3 linked regions of the Arabidopsis thaliana genome follow. The protein of the gene in region 1 interacts with the protein of each later gene in a pairwise test. Each region holds a gene or a part of one and is shown in the gene's direction. Other genes may lie near its edges.

Evidence for each region. Proteins that work in one complex are often made in the same cells at the same time.
Region 2: the proteins of NIMIN-3 (region 1) and MYR1 interact in binary tests that used the Arabidopsis thaliana proteins (3 or more experiments, as listed by UniProt).
Region 3: the proteins of NIMIN-3 (region 1) and TCP16 interact in binary tests that used the Arabidopsis thaliana proteins (3 or more experiments, as listed by UniProt).

Annotation. Positions count from the first base shown.
Region 1 is NC_003070.9:3,035,662-3,042,536, reverse strand, and holds NIMIN-3 (NIM1-interacting 3), read left to right. Parts: upstream 1-4,128; 5' UTR 4,129-4,288; coding exon 4,289-4,627; 3' UTR 4,628-4,783; downstream 4,784-6,875. Other genes in the region: ACLA-3 (ATP-citrate lyase A-3), read right to left, coding at 1-47, 304-402; G6PD4 (glucose-6-phosphate dehydrogenase 4), read left to right, coding at 822-923, 1,158-1,362, 1,449-1,696, 1,794-1,888, 1,973-2,087, 2,219-2,424, 2,505-2,613, 2,713-2,747 and 4 more; AT1G09410 (pentatricopeptide (PPR) repeat-containing protein), read right to left, coding at 4,977-6,875.
Region 2 is NC_003076.8:6,027,099-6,032,729, reverse strand, and holds MYR1 (myb-related protein 1), read left to right. Parts: upstream 1-1,927; 5' UTR 1,928-2,066; intron 2,067-2,133; exon of another isoform or gene 2,134-2,148; 5' UTR 2,149-2,156; coding exon 2,157-2,364; exon of another isoform or gene 2,365-2,452; coding exon 2,453-2,529; exon of another isoform or gene 2,530-2,714; coding exon 2,715-2,772; exon of another isoform or gene 2,773-2,878; coding exon 2,879-2,963; exon of another isoform or gene 2,964-3,037; coding exon 3,038-3,107; exon of another isoform or gene 3,108-3,402; coding exon 3,403-4,113; 3' UTR 4,114-4,445; downstream 4,446-5,631. UniProt on the Arabidopsis thaliana protein: Transcription factor that may act on the GAL1 promoter. Acts redundantly with MYR2 as a repressor of flowering and organ elongation under decreased light intensity. Represses gibberellic acid (GA)-dependent responses and affects levels of bioactive GA.
Region 3 is NC_003074.8:16,529,474-16,532,862, forward strand, and holds TCP16 (TCP domain protein 16), read left to right. Parts: upstream 1-1,705; coding exon 1,706-2,203; downstream 2,204-3,389. UniProt on the Arabidopsis thaliana protein: Required during early processes in pollen development.

The DNA of each region.
Region 1 (6,875 bases):
CATGACTCCTGGTTGGTTAACTCAGTGAAATCCGTAGATTCTGTCACCTAAAAGTATACAACAATAAACGAATCACCCATCATCAGTAGTTCTAGTAATCAACTAATCATGCCATGTCCAAAGTCATCAGTAGAAAGAGATCTTTCCCAAGATTCTCACTTTCATTAGCTCTATCTAAGTCCAAGATTACTCTCAATAACATTCAGACAAAACACGATTCATTCAAGAGTTCCAATTGAATTGTGCTATCGAATTTCCACAAAGCAGATCGATGAAAACAAAACTAGAATTCGTGAGAATGACCTGAGCAGAGCGAATCTGCAGGTCAATATTAGCAAGACGCTTCAAATGCTCCTTGAGAAGTCTCTTGGAGTCATATTCTCTGATCTTCTTCCTCGCCATCGAATTACAAACAGTGATCGTCCTCAACACTAAACCACGGAAAGTGTTTCTCCGCCTGAAGTAGCTGAGAAGAAAAGGTGACAATTTTCGAGACGATAAGATCGATGAAGTTGAGAAGAAGATGATCTCACCAACTCAACGATGACGCCGACTCGGCGGGACCAGAAGAGACGTTGACGTTGAGATATCGAAAGTCAACCTACCCACCCCCGCCTAAACCACAAATTCAATTCTCTTTCCTCGAGAACCAACCGGTACGGTTCGGTTTAGAAGAACCCGACGATTATCTGAAAGTTGGAACCATTAATGGAGGCGTCAATCAGAAAACTTAAACTTGCACTCGTCTTCCACTTTGATCCACTTAAAGCAGCTTTAAAGCTTTGAACATGTTTAGCTATAATCCCTGAGGAACTATCCTCATGTCTCTCTCCAGTTGCTTGCTTCCCTTTTCTCAATCAGCGACGGCTCCGTCTTCCTCCGTCTGCTCTTGCCATCTCGCCGCCTCTTTTTCTAATTTTCCGGTAAGCACATGTATTCGCTCTACCTTTCATGCATGCTTTCGTTTTATCAAAAGGTCATTACTTTGAGAAACAAAGATTATTATTTTTCTTGGATTATGCTAATGTTTTCTGCAATCTCACCAAAGATCTCAAATTCGTGTTACATGCCCTCTGAATCTAAGCTTTAGTATATTATTGACCTTCGAAATCAACTTGATTTCTAGTTGTTGAAATTTCTCTATTTTGTGTGAATAGGTTTCGTCAAGAGACTATAGTTTCTCCAGAAGTGGAAGCCTTGTTCTCAACGGAGGAGGCTCGAATCTCTGCCGGAGATTCTGTGGTTTGAAACTGTGGATACTTAAGAGCTTGAATCGTAGACAAGGCAACAACAGAAAACATCAGCCTGTAAACGAGCTTACAACACACTCAAAGCACACTTTCCTCAGCGATGATGAACGAGGTCTAGTTCTAAGATATGAGTCAATTTACATCTCATGTCTTCACTTGATCATTCTTTAGCACTTCCTGAGGTAGAATGTGATGCAGGTTTTGCTGAAGAAACTAGAGCTGAAGATTTACGACCAGAAGAGAATATTCTGGGAACGGATTTGAATGATGGGTTTCACAATGTTGGAGACTTACCACCTGTGTCAAAACAACTCTCGGATGATCTTTCAGATGTTCGAAGAAGGGCCTCACTTTGCATTGCTGTTGTAGGAGCCACTGGTGAGCTAGCAAGAGGGAAGATTTTCCCGGCATTGTTTGCGTTGTATTATAGCGGCTACCTTCCTGAGGTATGACTTTTGTGCTCATGAACAATTACAAAGTAAGCAGCAAAACAGTTGGATAGTTTTTTTCGGTTGTCTTCTTGATTGGTCTTCATTGTCACAGGATGTTGCTATATTTGGGGTTTCAAGAAAGAATCTGACAGATGAAGACCTCAGATCCATCATTGCATCAACGCTGACTTGCCGTGTTGATCATCAGTATGTATAATTCTTGGTACTACCTTAAATTTGGTATCTCTGATATACGGCCGTGCTAGCTAAAGAATGATGCTAAATGTTCAGGGAGAATTGTGGGGGCAAGATGGATGCATTTCAGAGTAGAACATACTATATCAATGGAGGTTATAATAACAGGGATGGGATGTCCCGACTTGCCGAGAGAATGAAACAGATTGAGGTTCCTAAGTACCTTTTTTTCTTTCTTTCAATGATTACATTTTGTCCCAGAAGTAGTCCTCTTTCTGAGTTTACAACATTTTGAACAGACAAGCAAGATAGAATAAGACATTAACAGCTTTTCTTCTTCAGGGAGAATCAGAAGCAAATAGAATCTTTTACCTCTCAGTACCTCAAGAAGCTCTGGTGGATGTGGCATGCACCATTGGAGATAACGCTCAGGCACCACGAGGCTGGACTCGAATAATAGTTGAGAAACCTTTTGGTTTTAACTCACATTCGTCTCATCAGTTAACAAAGTCACTTCTCTCTAAGTTTGAAGAGAAGCAAATCTACAGGTCCTTCTTTTAAATCTAGTTGCTTTCTGCATGCACAGCTCTCAAGTTCATATTTCTTCACACTTCTGTGCCCGTTACAGGATAGATCACATGTTAGGAAGAAACCTCATTGAAAATCTGACAGTGTTAAGGTTTTCAAATCTAGTTTTTGAACCACTATGGAACAGAACATACATACGCAATATACAGGTAGTGTTTCCTTCTGATTGTTTGTAGTTGTGTATAGTGCCTGAACTTTCCTCTTCCACATTCTGGTTTGTTCACTTTGTGTATAAATGATGTTTCCAGGTTATTATATCAGAATCAATTGCGCAAACAGAAAAGTAAGGCACAATAGTTCTATTTTCACCATTTCTTTGCATGTGAGAGTAAATTGTGTTGTTTCAGCATTCTTAGACAAATCAGTAATGTTATTTTCTAATTTCCTACTGCTTTTTTTAAGGTTTTCTGATGGATATGGAATAATACGGGACATAGTGCACAGCCATATACTTCAGACAATCGCATTACTTGCCATGGAACCTCCGATAAGTCTCGATGGTGAAGATATCCGAAATGAAAAGGTCAACCTGTACTGTAAAGAACAAAATCGTCTTATGGTATATATGTAAGTTGTGTACTCTTGTTCTGTCAAGTGACTTGGTGACAAACCTGCTTCTGCAGGTGAAGGTTTTAAGATCAATTCGCAAGATAGACCCGCGTGATGTCATCCTTGGCCAGTATAAATCCAGTTCCCGAGACAAGAACGGTGTGATCTTGAACGGTGTAGACCCTACATATTGTGCAGCAGCCTTGTATATTGATAATGCACGTTGGGATGGTGTACCTTTCCTTGTAAGAGTTGGCACTGGCCTCATTAAACACAGGTAAGAATAATTATTCCTACTCATAGACATATCCAACTGTCATAACAATTGATTGGTGTGCCTTAATGTTGAAAGAGTGGAGATTCATGTGCAATTCCGGCATGTTCCTGGAAACCTATACCGAGAAAATATTGGAATAAACATAGATTTGGGGACAAATGAGCTTATTCTACGTGACGAACCTGATGAGGCCATCCTGGTGAAAATCAACAACAAGGTTCCTGGTTTAGGTCTTCAGCTAGACGCTTCTGAACTTAACTTGCTCTATAAAGACAGGCAAGTTTTGCATTCTCATCTTTGTTCCTACACATTTTAAAAATCGAACTTTTGCGCCTTATGGTTGGTTGAATTGTTGGATCAAACCTGTAGGTATAAAACCGAAGTACCAGACTCATATGAACACCTAATTCATGATGTAATTGACGGAGACAATCATCTGTTCATGAGAAGCGATGAGGTTGCAGCAGCATGGAACATTCTTAGTCCGGTTCTAGAAGAGATAGACAAGCATCACACAGCTCCGGAGTTGTATGAATTTGGTGGACGAGGACCAGTTGCGGCATACTATCTTTGGGCCAAGCACGGTGTCCCATGGGCAGATGACTGAAGAAGAAACATAGATGCAGCAACAAACAAATGAGAGTGATTCTGAATGGTTATTGTGAAGTGTGTTTGTTTAGCTTGAAGCTGTGCCATTCCCTGTAGACTGTACATATGTACACATGTATGTCATGTTGCTATATGAATGTCCATCATGGTGGGGTCCATAATAGTGTTGAAAAGTCTCCAAAGCCACCCAAAGGAAAGAAGAAAGTCTGAGAGACTTTTAGATAAGGTCATGTTGTTAGTCTTCCCACTAGAGGCAATAATTATATCTTCTCCACCAATTCCTCCAGAAAATTCTTCCAGATGTATCATGTGTTGATGATCAAAGTAGGATGAAAATGATGTAACTAAAGAGAAACATTTTCATAGGGGAAGGAAGAGAGAGCGGTTCAATGGACAGAGACAGAAAGAGGGTGAAAATGGAGAAGGAAGATGACGAAGAAGAAAAGATGGAGAAGTTGTACACAGTGCTTAAAAACGCAAGGGAAATGCGGAAATATGTCAACAGCTCCATGGAGAAGAAGAGACAGGAAGAAGAAGAAAGAGCAAGGGTTCGTAGATTCCCTTCGTTTCAGCCAGAAGATTTCATTTTCATGAATAAAGCAGAGGCCAACAACATTGAAAAAGCAGCTAATGAGAGCTCTTCAGCATCCAACGAGTATGATGGCTCTAAGGAAAAGCAAGAAGGATCTGAGACTAACGTTTGTTTAGACTTGAATCTTTCTCTGTAGCATACATACATACAAGAGACAAAGAGCTCTTCAGTTTCTGTATAAGCAACAAAGAATGTTAGTAACTACGTACCAAAAACAAATGTGTCATGGAATTCTAGTTTTGCTTGAAGATTGTTCATCACTTCTTATTAACCATATTGAAGAAAATGCTACAAATGCACATTGATAACAAGATCAGTAAAAAAATATATATATATTAGCAGAAGAACTTAGAGAGAACTCTCATCAATGGCTGAGCAAGTTCCTATGGTTTGCGAGAATTACTCCATTTTGCCAACGCTCCAACGAGGATTGATAGCTAAGCCTAAGATTAAAAAAAAACATTCTGCTTGGCATTTATTGAATCTCACCAGTAATCTTTACAGGAACACTCTCCGTTTCTGAAGTGATGGAATCTGTTTGCATCTCTTAGAATGATCTCCCTCTCTTTCACCTTAGAGATTATTTTTATTGCTGTGTGGCAATCACTACAAACTCTAAGGTTCTTCATGACTCGGATGGGTATTCCTTCAGATAGCTTTAAAAGAGCATAAGCTACCGCTAGTCTCTCGCTATGATATTTCAGGCTATTGACTTTCTCTTCCTCGTCTACATCGTGCAATGCATAGCTGCAATCAGGATTATACCCGGCTTCTCTCAATAACCCATCCAATTCATCCAGTATCTTCAAAATAGATTCCTGCTCGGGATGGCTATTAATACCCCCACGAGTGAATGCATGCACCTTGTTCTCGACTTCAGTCCAGCTACAACCTGGTGATTTTCTTACCAACCTAGTCTTCATAAGTTTTCTCAGTTCTGCAACGTCAGCCCACCTACCTTGAGATGCATACATGTTGGAGAGCAAGATGTAAGTCCCAGAATTCTCCGGTTCAATCTCTATGAGTTTCTTCGCACAAAATTCTGCCACATCCAGCTGCGAGTGAGTTCTGCACGCTCCTAATAGAGAACCCCAAACTGCAGCATCTGGTTCGACAGTCATACTATCAATCATTTCCATTGCCTCATTAAACCGTCCTGCACGCCCAAGCATATCTACCATGCAAGCATAATGCGCGGTGATTGGCTTAACCCCAAAAACTGATTCCATAGATTCATAGATCTTAAGCCCTTCCTCAACCATCCCAGCGTAACTACATGCTGAGAGAGTTGCAACGAAGGTGACTTCGTTAGGCTTAGTACTACCAGACAAAGGCATCTCACAGAAAACCTTTAATGCTTCCTCTCCAAGACCGTGTGAGGCATAACCAGATATGATTGAATTCCACATGATAATGTCCTTTGAAGGAAACCTGTCAAATATTAGTTTAGACTTCACAAGCTCGCCGCATTTAATGTACATTGTCATTAAAACAGACGCAACATACACATCAACATCAAATTGACATCTAACCAACTGAGCATGGACCTGTTTACCATGGTGGAGGCTTGCTAAGCTGGCGCAGACCGAAAGAATGCTTATCAATGTTGGAAAAGTGGGTCTAACTCCCTGTTTCTGCATCAGAATAAATAAATCAAGAGCCTCCAATTCAAAACCGTTTCTTTCGTGAATTTTGATCACCGTTTGCCAAGATGCATCATTTCTCTCCTTCATTGAATCAAAAACCCTTCTTGCTTTTGCTATCTCTCCTTTCTGTCCAAGCCCGGAAATCATAGCATTACACGCAATAACTGGCTTCACTGGCATAACTTCAAAAAGTTCTTCAGCATCCTCAATTCGCCCATTCTGTACATAGCCCATAAGCATGGAAGTCCATGAAACTTCAGTTTTCTCTGGCATCACATCAAAAATCTTCCTAGCATCATCCACACGATTGTTCTGCCCATATCCTGTGACCATTGTAGTCCAAGTAATCACACTTCTCTCTGACATCTCATCAAAAATCTCTCTTGCCTCATCCACTCTTCCTTCTTTGCACAATCCATGAATCATACTAGTCCTTGCAATATTATCTTTATCCGGTATCATTTCATACAGCTTACACGCATCATCGATTCGCCCATCTTGCAAAAACCCAATAAGCATCACAGTCCAAGAAACCTTATTCTTCTCAGGCATTTTCCAAAACAACGACTCTGCCACATCAACCTTACCATTGTGCACATACCCTTTCACCAACGCCGTCCATGAGACAACATTCCTCTCAGGCATTAAATCAAACACTTTCCTAGCTTCGTCAATCTCCCCGTTCTTCATATACCCGGACACCAAACCATTCCAAGAGATGATGTTTCTGTCAGGCAT
Region 2 (5,631 bases), on another chromosome or scaffold:
CTGTCAAAGGGAAATGAACGTACAAGGAAGAACATTTTGTCTGTATCACTCTTTTCTTTCACTGAAGAAGGGGAAAGACTACATAATTAAGCACAAACTAGTATAACAATTGTGACCAAGATAACATATCGTTTAAGCTCTAGTTCTGAAGAAAAACACAGTAGTCCAAAATCTGGAACAGAACCTGCTACAAAAAGCATACACAAAATTTGATCTTTTCTGAAACTACATTTGATATAGAACAGAGGATTATCTATCTGACAAAAGAGAAGCCAATCAAAAGAGTTCAACATAAATTGTTTGCTTCGTCTAATTTACTTTTGATGGTATACAAATAGAGTTTTCAAACTTGCAGCACACAATATGAAGCCTCTCTTTGTGGAAGCATATTCCCACTCACATGCCAATCAACTATTTAGGCAATATGCTCAAATACTTTTAACTGAAGGTTATGAAAAAGGTTCTTCACCAAACAGAATAAAGTGTTAATGAGAAATCAGAACCATGAGATTTCACCAAAAAAAGATTGAAAAATGCAAAGATATCATTCAAGGAACATAAGATTTGTTTTTTTGACATTTTCCTTTCAAACAATAGACCATATTTCTACCTAGTTTTTTTTTTTAAGGCACCTATCAAACTCATTAAGATATGTGAGACTCTATACTAGATAGTGGATATATTCTCAATTGCACATAGAGAAGCCATAATTTCAGCATTTGGCAATCACGACTTGTATATTTATATATCTTTATCTCTCAACTTATTCTATATAGCTGTATATCATATAGGAGAGTATCTCTACACTTAATCAGTCAGTAGAAATATAATAGTGAAGTCCAAATCAAACTCGCATCCAACACCATAATATGAATGATGATAAAATTTAGAGCCGTACTCACCACTAAAGTAGATTCAAGGAAGTACACTGTAAGAAACCAGCCAAACATTAGATGCATATATGCTTCACGAACTTATACATATATACATGTAAATATGTACATGTATGCACACATAAACACACAAACAATACATACAAATATGCACTGAAGACATGTTATGTTGCATTCAGAACAGACAGGAAAGGTTACACACATACATAGATTAACACATGCATGGATGAGCCAAATATGTTGTGCCAATCAAAGAGTGTAAGATATGGACCCCCCACTAATTTTTATACTATTTAGAGAGAATAGGTACTAAACTTGTTGAAGGAGACAGCAAGAAATATTCTACATTCGCTTTCTCAATTATCTTTCAAGAAAAATCAATGTTGAAACATAAACTTTCACCCCCCTTGCATTATGCATATCACAAACCTGGGTATTCTACGCTATATAATAATACAAACATAATCACTATATTTTCTTGAAACATGGCCAAATAAACCATTATTGATTTTGGTCAAAACCTAACTTAAAGTTTTAATAGATTTAAGATGTATGTAGAGACTGAAAAAATGACTTTCAAGTCGGAACAAAAACAATACAGACAAGTGGAAAGCATTGAGAATATACCTCAAGAGATAGAGAGGTTGGAGCTGTGGACTTTGAAAAAATTGAGGAATAAGGAAAAAGAATGAATTCCCCTGCCCAAGTAGAAAAGTTGTCAAAAAGATTTGGAGAATAAGATACTTTCATATACCAGAATGGTGAAGGAATGCGCATATGATGCATTAATTGTGGATCAATTCTCGTATCTAATGCAAGGCTTTAATTGCACTGAAAAGTTGTAGTCCAGAGGAATCAAAACTAGAAAAAATAATGTAAGCACACAAGGTACAGTTTAAACGATAAGAACACAAATAACAAAGCAACGATTGGACCAGTTATTCATATTCCATACCTTAGTTATCATCCTCTAATTTGCCTTTTTGCCATTCAACTTTCTATATAAAGCAAAGTTGCAAAGACTTTTTACTCTTGAGAGACCCCGGCCTGAGAAAAAGAGCATAAATAAGGAAAGCAGCAAAGACATCTTCCCAAGTTGGTGGAGTTGCAAACCATAGTGTATCTCTGAACTGAGAGTAGCAGGTTGCAATTAAAAACTAAAGATTGTGTCAGGTAAAAGAAAAACATTTGGTCTTTGCACTCATTATTAATGCAGTATTGCTAGGTGGGATAAGCTTACCTTTTTATTTTGAAGACAGACTTATGTATTACCACAACCAGCACCAAGGAAAGAGCATCCTCTCTTCATCGAGAATGCCCATTTCTTCTGAAAGGCATCCGTTCCTCAGAGGAAATGGCACAGGAGATTCTGGACTCATTCTCTCCACTGATGCAAAGCCACGACTAAAATGGACTCCAGATCTTCACGAGAGATTTGTTGAAGCGGTCAACCAGCTTGGAGGAGGAGATAGTAAGTTATCTTATAAGCAAATGAACCATCTTTTACAATCAGGCTTTTTGAACATAATGTATTAATGTGTATACTTTTGTCTGCGCAGAGGCTACTCCTAAGACAATCATGAAAGTCATGGGCATTCCAGGCCTTACCTTATACCATCTCAAGAGTCATCTTCAGGTAATCCATCAACACTTTATACAGTCATATGCCCAAGGCCCTAAACTTACATGACTCGTTCATCAATTCGATTGGTAGAAAACTATTAAAGTAGCACAAAAATGACGATATGTCAAGATATGAAAAATCTGTAATATCTGTTTTTTGTTTTACAAAGATTATTAATATCATGATTTGACTACCAGAAATATAGGCTAAGCAAGAATCTTAATGGACAAGCTAACAGCAGTTTAAACAAGACAAGTAAGCTTAGTTATTCATTACTCAGATACAAAAATATTTTAATCTAAAGATTCATTCTTTTTTCATACTATTTTCCTTCAAGTAAACTAAAAGCAACCTGGTTTAGGTGTGATGACCATGGTAGAAGAAAACCCCCCTGAAGTAGACGAAAGTCACAGTGAGAGTTTAAGCATTGGACCACAGCCGAGCATGTAAGGATATGCCTATTTGCTTACATATTCTACCTTAGTAGATTCTCAAAAATGACCTATATTTGTGCACGCAGGAACTTACCCATAAGTGATGCCCTTCAAATGCAAATAGAGGTCCAGAGACGGCTACACGAGCAACTTGAGGTATCTATCATATACTGTACTCTGTGCATTCACCATGTTCAAAGCAGCTATCAGTGTTGGAATTTTCGGTTCCTATATTTGTTCTAACAAGACCAATCAAGATGAGTCTGGTTTCATTAATTCTCATGGAAAAAAATAGGAACAATTTACAGAACTATACTCAAAATTGTAGAAACACATAGATCAGTGAAAATCATAAGTATAGAGTATCAATAGAGGCGAGATGAACTATATAGAAACAGAGAACAGAGCATTTAGTTACGATTTCATTAAAAATATTTTAAAACTGAGCCAGGTACAGCGACATTTGCAGCTCAGGATAGAGGCTCAAGGAAAGTACCTGCAATCGATTCTGGAGAAAGCACAAGAGACTCTTGGAAGACAGAACCTAGGTGCAGCTGGGATTGAAGCAACAAAAGCTCAACTCTCAGAATTAGTATCTAAAGTATCAGCAGACTATCCAGACTCTAGTTTCCTCGAACCGAAAGAACTGCAGAATCTACACCATCAACAGATGCAAAAAACGTATCCACCTAACTCCTCCCTGGACAGTTGCCTAACCTCAAGTGAAGGAACTCAGAAAGCCCCAAAGATGCTTGACAACAGACTGGGATTAAGAACATATATTGGAGATTCAACTTCAGAGCAGAAAGAGATAATGGAAGAGCCATTCTTCCATAGAATGGAGCTCACATGGGCAGAAGAAGAAAGCCTCAGAGAGAATCACAACAGGCCATATCTTTCAACAATGGTTAACAACGCAGAACCGAGAATCTCGTCTTCAAGAAGAAGTCCTGGAAGATTGTCAATAGGAGTGGGATTACATGAACACAGAGGAAGGAGTAGCAACAACAGTGAGTATACAGAAGAAAGATTCAACGAGAATAATGAAGATTGCAAGCTTGAAACACACACAAGAACAGCTCTAGATCTTAACACACACGACGAAAACTATGGCACAACGCGTCCTAAACAGTTTGATTTAAATGGTTTCAGCTGGAATTGAGAAGAACAAATAAGCTTTAGAAGAGTGCAACAACCTTTTTATGATAATCACACAGGAAATGAAAAGCCTTTGATTTCCTTTGTTAGCTTGAGGGATTCGTCTAAAAATTGAATTATTAGTCGAACTCAAAAGAGACATCTTGTGCAACAATGTACAACACTATTAATTTGCGTAGTTATGATCTCATCATATAAATACAGATAAATTTACTAACTTCATGGAAGATACTGAAATTCTTGAGAGAAGGACGTAAAGCTCCGTGCTTTTTAACAAAGCAAGAACATACCCATAGATGTGTAAGCATTCACAACGTTGCAAATCGAAGAAAAACCGGAAAGTGAGAAACGAATGGCCCCGTCGAACGACGAGAGATTGGGGATTGTCCGACGCCTTTTTTCAAACCGGGTCGGTTCGCATAGATCTGGGTCGGGTTAAACTGGTTTTATCCGAATTCGGGCAAGAGGACCCCATCTGTTACCTCAAAGAGTGACAATGTCATGTTTCGTCCCTGAAATTTTAGTAGGCGCTTATTTTCACCCATTATAGTTTTCTTTGGACCACTTAACCAAACATTGCAATTTTGTTTATTTTATCGTTAAATACACATCTCAAATTTTTTTTTCTTTTTTTTTTATAGAAAAAAACTTTTGATTTCATATAATTAAGTTTAATACTGTAGAAAAAAACAAAAAAAAACCATTAAACTAATTAATTACAATCTACTGATAAATTTTTAAAGTAAAAATATAATCGTTTTATTTTATATGAATGAAAAATAGTCGGTTAACTACATTTGCGTGTACTAAAATGCTGATAAATTTATATAAAATTAAAATATATCTCGTATATATTTATAATGTATGACATACATATAGGTGATATATCTAATTTCAGTAAAATAAGTCAAACTGTTATATATTAATAAGGTATATTTAAGTTTAGATTTACTAAACGATGTCAACATATAAAAATCATTGAGTACGAGATTTTAAATTTATTTTTCTATAAAAATAAAAAAAAACTTTAACAAATAATAATATAAAGTATATTTAATTTGTCCGGTATAAAATTACCGTTATAATAAAAAATAACCAGAATGCGTCTCGCGCCATAAATTCAAATATTCTTTAAATTGTTTTACATTACTTTCCATTTTTGTGTTTTCTTTTTATACTTGAAATATCTACTTCAATAACTTTAATTTAATTTTGATAACCAAATTATTATAGACCTTCACATTTGGGAAAAAGGAGTAAAAATAGGGGGTAAGAATCAGAAAGTAGTAAAAGTATGAGGGGCAAATCGGCGAATAAAAAGCCCGGTAACTCTTTTACTATGGGCCGTCAATGTCAAACTCGAAACTCTCGTTCTGATTTCTGTAATCAAATCCACAAAAGATCCAATCAAAATTCATTCACCCATCATCGTTAGTTACACATCATCGTCTTCTTCCTCTCGCTCCCTCTGATAGCGAAACCCTAAAATACTCTCAGCTGCTACTTTCCGTAACCAAATCCC
Region 3 (3,389 bases), on another chromosome or scaffold:
GGTAAGTGTTTGAGGGTTAAATATTTGTTGAATTTTTAACATCACACTAATTTAGAGTATAATCTAAATTATAAGGTATACGTATGAAATCATAGCTCAATGATGATAGAATTCGTTAATTATTCTCGTAAAAGTGAATATTTGATTTAAAATGAGTCAAAATATATTTGATTTGACGAATTCTAAAAGTGTTCCGCTTGAGTTATAGAAACATGCTCAAAATGATGGTGATGACTTTTTTTTAGTTCTTTATTTGAAAAGTCAGTTTGGAAATGAAAACAGTAAGGCTGACCAAACAATATACAGTATGTTATCCAACTCTTATCCGTTTTAAGAAAACAAAGTATGTGTAAGAGTCGGGTAATATGATATCAGGTTATTTCTAAACCATCTGTCTTGTAACCCATCATTTTACTTGGATATATTTTCTTACATACAAATAATTTATTATAATAGTTTAGACATGTCAATTGGACTAGTCCAGTCTGACAAAGTCCAGAAAATTCGAATATATTTTATTTAGTCTGGTTCGGTTAGTAAAAATTTTGAAATAAAAAAATTTGAACTTATATTTCAAGATCTGGTAATAACAGGGACAAGACTTTTCCAGGTTTTTTATGTTTTTCTTTCCAGAAAAAAACAAATTTATAATTTATAATATTTCTGAAAGATGGATATATGAACAAAACAAATCAGTTGAAATTTAAATAACCATGAAAGCCAGTTTATTTTCAAAAAAAAAGGTTTAAAATCAAAAAAAATAATCTAATTTTTTTATTTAAACTCATAACAAATAAAATATAAAATCAGAAGATTTTAATCTAGACAGTCGAGCCAAGATTTGTTTTTTAGATTTATAGTAAGGCACAATTGAAAAACTAGGTTTAGGGTTTTCAATACTATTAAAAAAAACAAAAACAAATATTCCAATTAAAGAAAAATATTAACAAAAGAAAAGTAAAAAAAAAAATTAAAATTTTTTTAGGCCGGCTTGAATCTGGTGGGATTAAGCCTCAAAAACTTTTTATCCCGAATGGGTTAGCTTAAGGGAATTTTCTGGATATATATTTTTAAGTCTGAATCTCTATTTTCAGAATTGATAGTCCGGGGAATTTGACCCTAAATGAAATATAGTTTGATAAATAAACAAATAGACAATATCTGAAGAACAAATTAACCGTCCAAAAAAAAATATGCGAACTCCTATCCAAACACCTAGTTTAAAAATAACAATATAATATTTTAAATAACAATGTTGGAATATCATTAATTTCTAAGGAAAAAAACTAAAACCTTAACTTTAAAAAAATTAAAATAGGATAAAATAGGACTATACTTGTACAGTTGTATCAGTAAATAATAATTTCTGTAAACTGCCAGAAGAAAGGTTTATTTTCCTTTTTTTAGTGGACCTATCAATTAATTATTCCAATATAACTTCTTTTTTTCAGGTCCACTAAATATATTTTCTATACTACATATTATATTACATGATAATATTTCATTCTCAAATATACCTATATAAATTTAAGATTTCTTCTATTTACCAATTAGTTTAATTATTAGTTTGTTACACCATTATTGTTTTCCATACATAACATAAATAGAAATAGAGTTTTCTGTAACGTTTCTATATAATCCAAGTGAAACAAACATATTTTCCACTTCCATTTACAAAAGAAAAAGAAAAAAAAAACAGAGAAAAATGGATTCGAAAAATGGAATTAACAACAGCCAAAAGGCAAGAAGGACTCCAAAAGACCGCCATTTGAAAATTGGTGGCCGTGATCGTCGCATTCGGATCCCGCCGAGTGTTGCTCCCCAACTATTTAGATTGACAAAAGAACTCGGCTTTAAAACCGATGGTGAAACTGTCAGTTGGCTCCTCCAGAATGCCGAGCCTGCCATTTTCGCAGCCACGGGACATGGTGTCACCACCACCTCCAATGAAGATATCCAGCCAAATAGGAATTTTCCTAGTTACACCTTTAATGGTGATAATATTAGTAATAACGTTTTCCCTTGTACGGTTGTAAATACTGGTCATCGTCAGATGGTGTTTCCGGTTTCTACAATGACAGATCATGCACCTTCAACTAATTACAGTACTATTAGTGATAATTACAATTCCACCTTTAATGGTAATGCTACCGCCAGTGATACAACATCAGCAGCAACAACAACAGCCACAACCACAGTTTGAGCTTGTGAAGGAGGAGACGGCGTCGCTGAGAAGGCCAATTTGGAGTCTTTAAAATAAATATTGGAGATTTAAGAGTGTTCAGTTCTGGACGTTTTAGTTCGTTTCTGTTTGCTTTTTCTTTCCTCTTCATGTTTTTCAGTTTGAGAGTTGAACTAGGGTTTGTTTTAGTTCGATCGGTATCCATTTGTCTTTTTTTCTTGTATGCTCATGTTTTTTTAAGATGAATAATAATACCTAAAATTAATTATAGATGTAATTTAAAACTGTTTGTCCATGTTTGAAGTTTAGTAGAGAATTTGATTTCAACAATGGATTAAATTAAACTCTTCACAACAAATTTGATTCATTTTTTCTTTTTTGGACACGAACAATTTCGTTGGTATTCTAGAATAAATAATTCTGTCATAATATTTACCGAAACATAACTTTTATGTACAGTTATTTATTTCCGTTTTCTAATTTGTCAAAATTCGTTTGTCTTTCGAACCTAAAGGTTCCAACGGTTATGAAAACATTAATTAAAAACGGATATCAAAAACTATAATATAAATAAATTAAAGAGATAATAAAAGGAACAATTGAGTAAGAATGTGGTTTTATATCTGTTAAAGAAATTTCCAGCTCACACTTAGCTGGACAATAATTATTTAAGATTTGTTTCTGTATTTAGCTTCATACATCTATTTTAATATTTCTTAATACACAGATATATATTTTAATATATATATATATATATTATTTTCAAGATTCTCAAGGAAAAAAAAAGAAAAAAAAAAGGAAGGAAAACTAAATCTAAAGAATAAGAAACTAATTTTTGTGTAAATAAAAATTACTTTAATAAACTTTTAATAGTTTTCCCTTAAATTCTTTTACTTTATAGATTGGTTAATATGTATTTAGAGAAAAATACTATTTAACCTTTATTTAGATTAAAAAAAAAAACTTGAGTAAGAAAATGGTTTAAAATTCTTAAAGAAAATTCCAGCTCACTTTAAGCTAGAAAAAGAGATTATATAGTTTATAGTATAAAAATAAATTTAATCATACCATGTTTAATAAAATTTGAAGAAAAACTTATTTTCTTTTTCCATGAATAACAAGATTTTTCTTAACAATTAAAATTTCTTTTAGCAACATATATTAATACTTTAGTTTTCTGTTTTTTTGTTGGACATGGGTTCCGCCC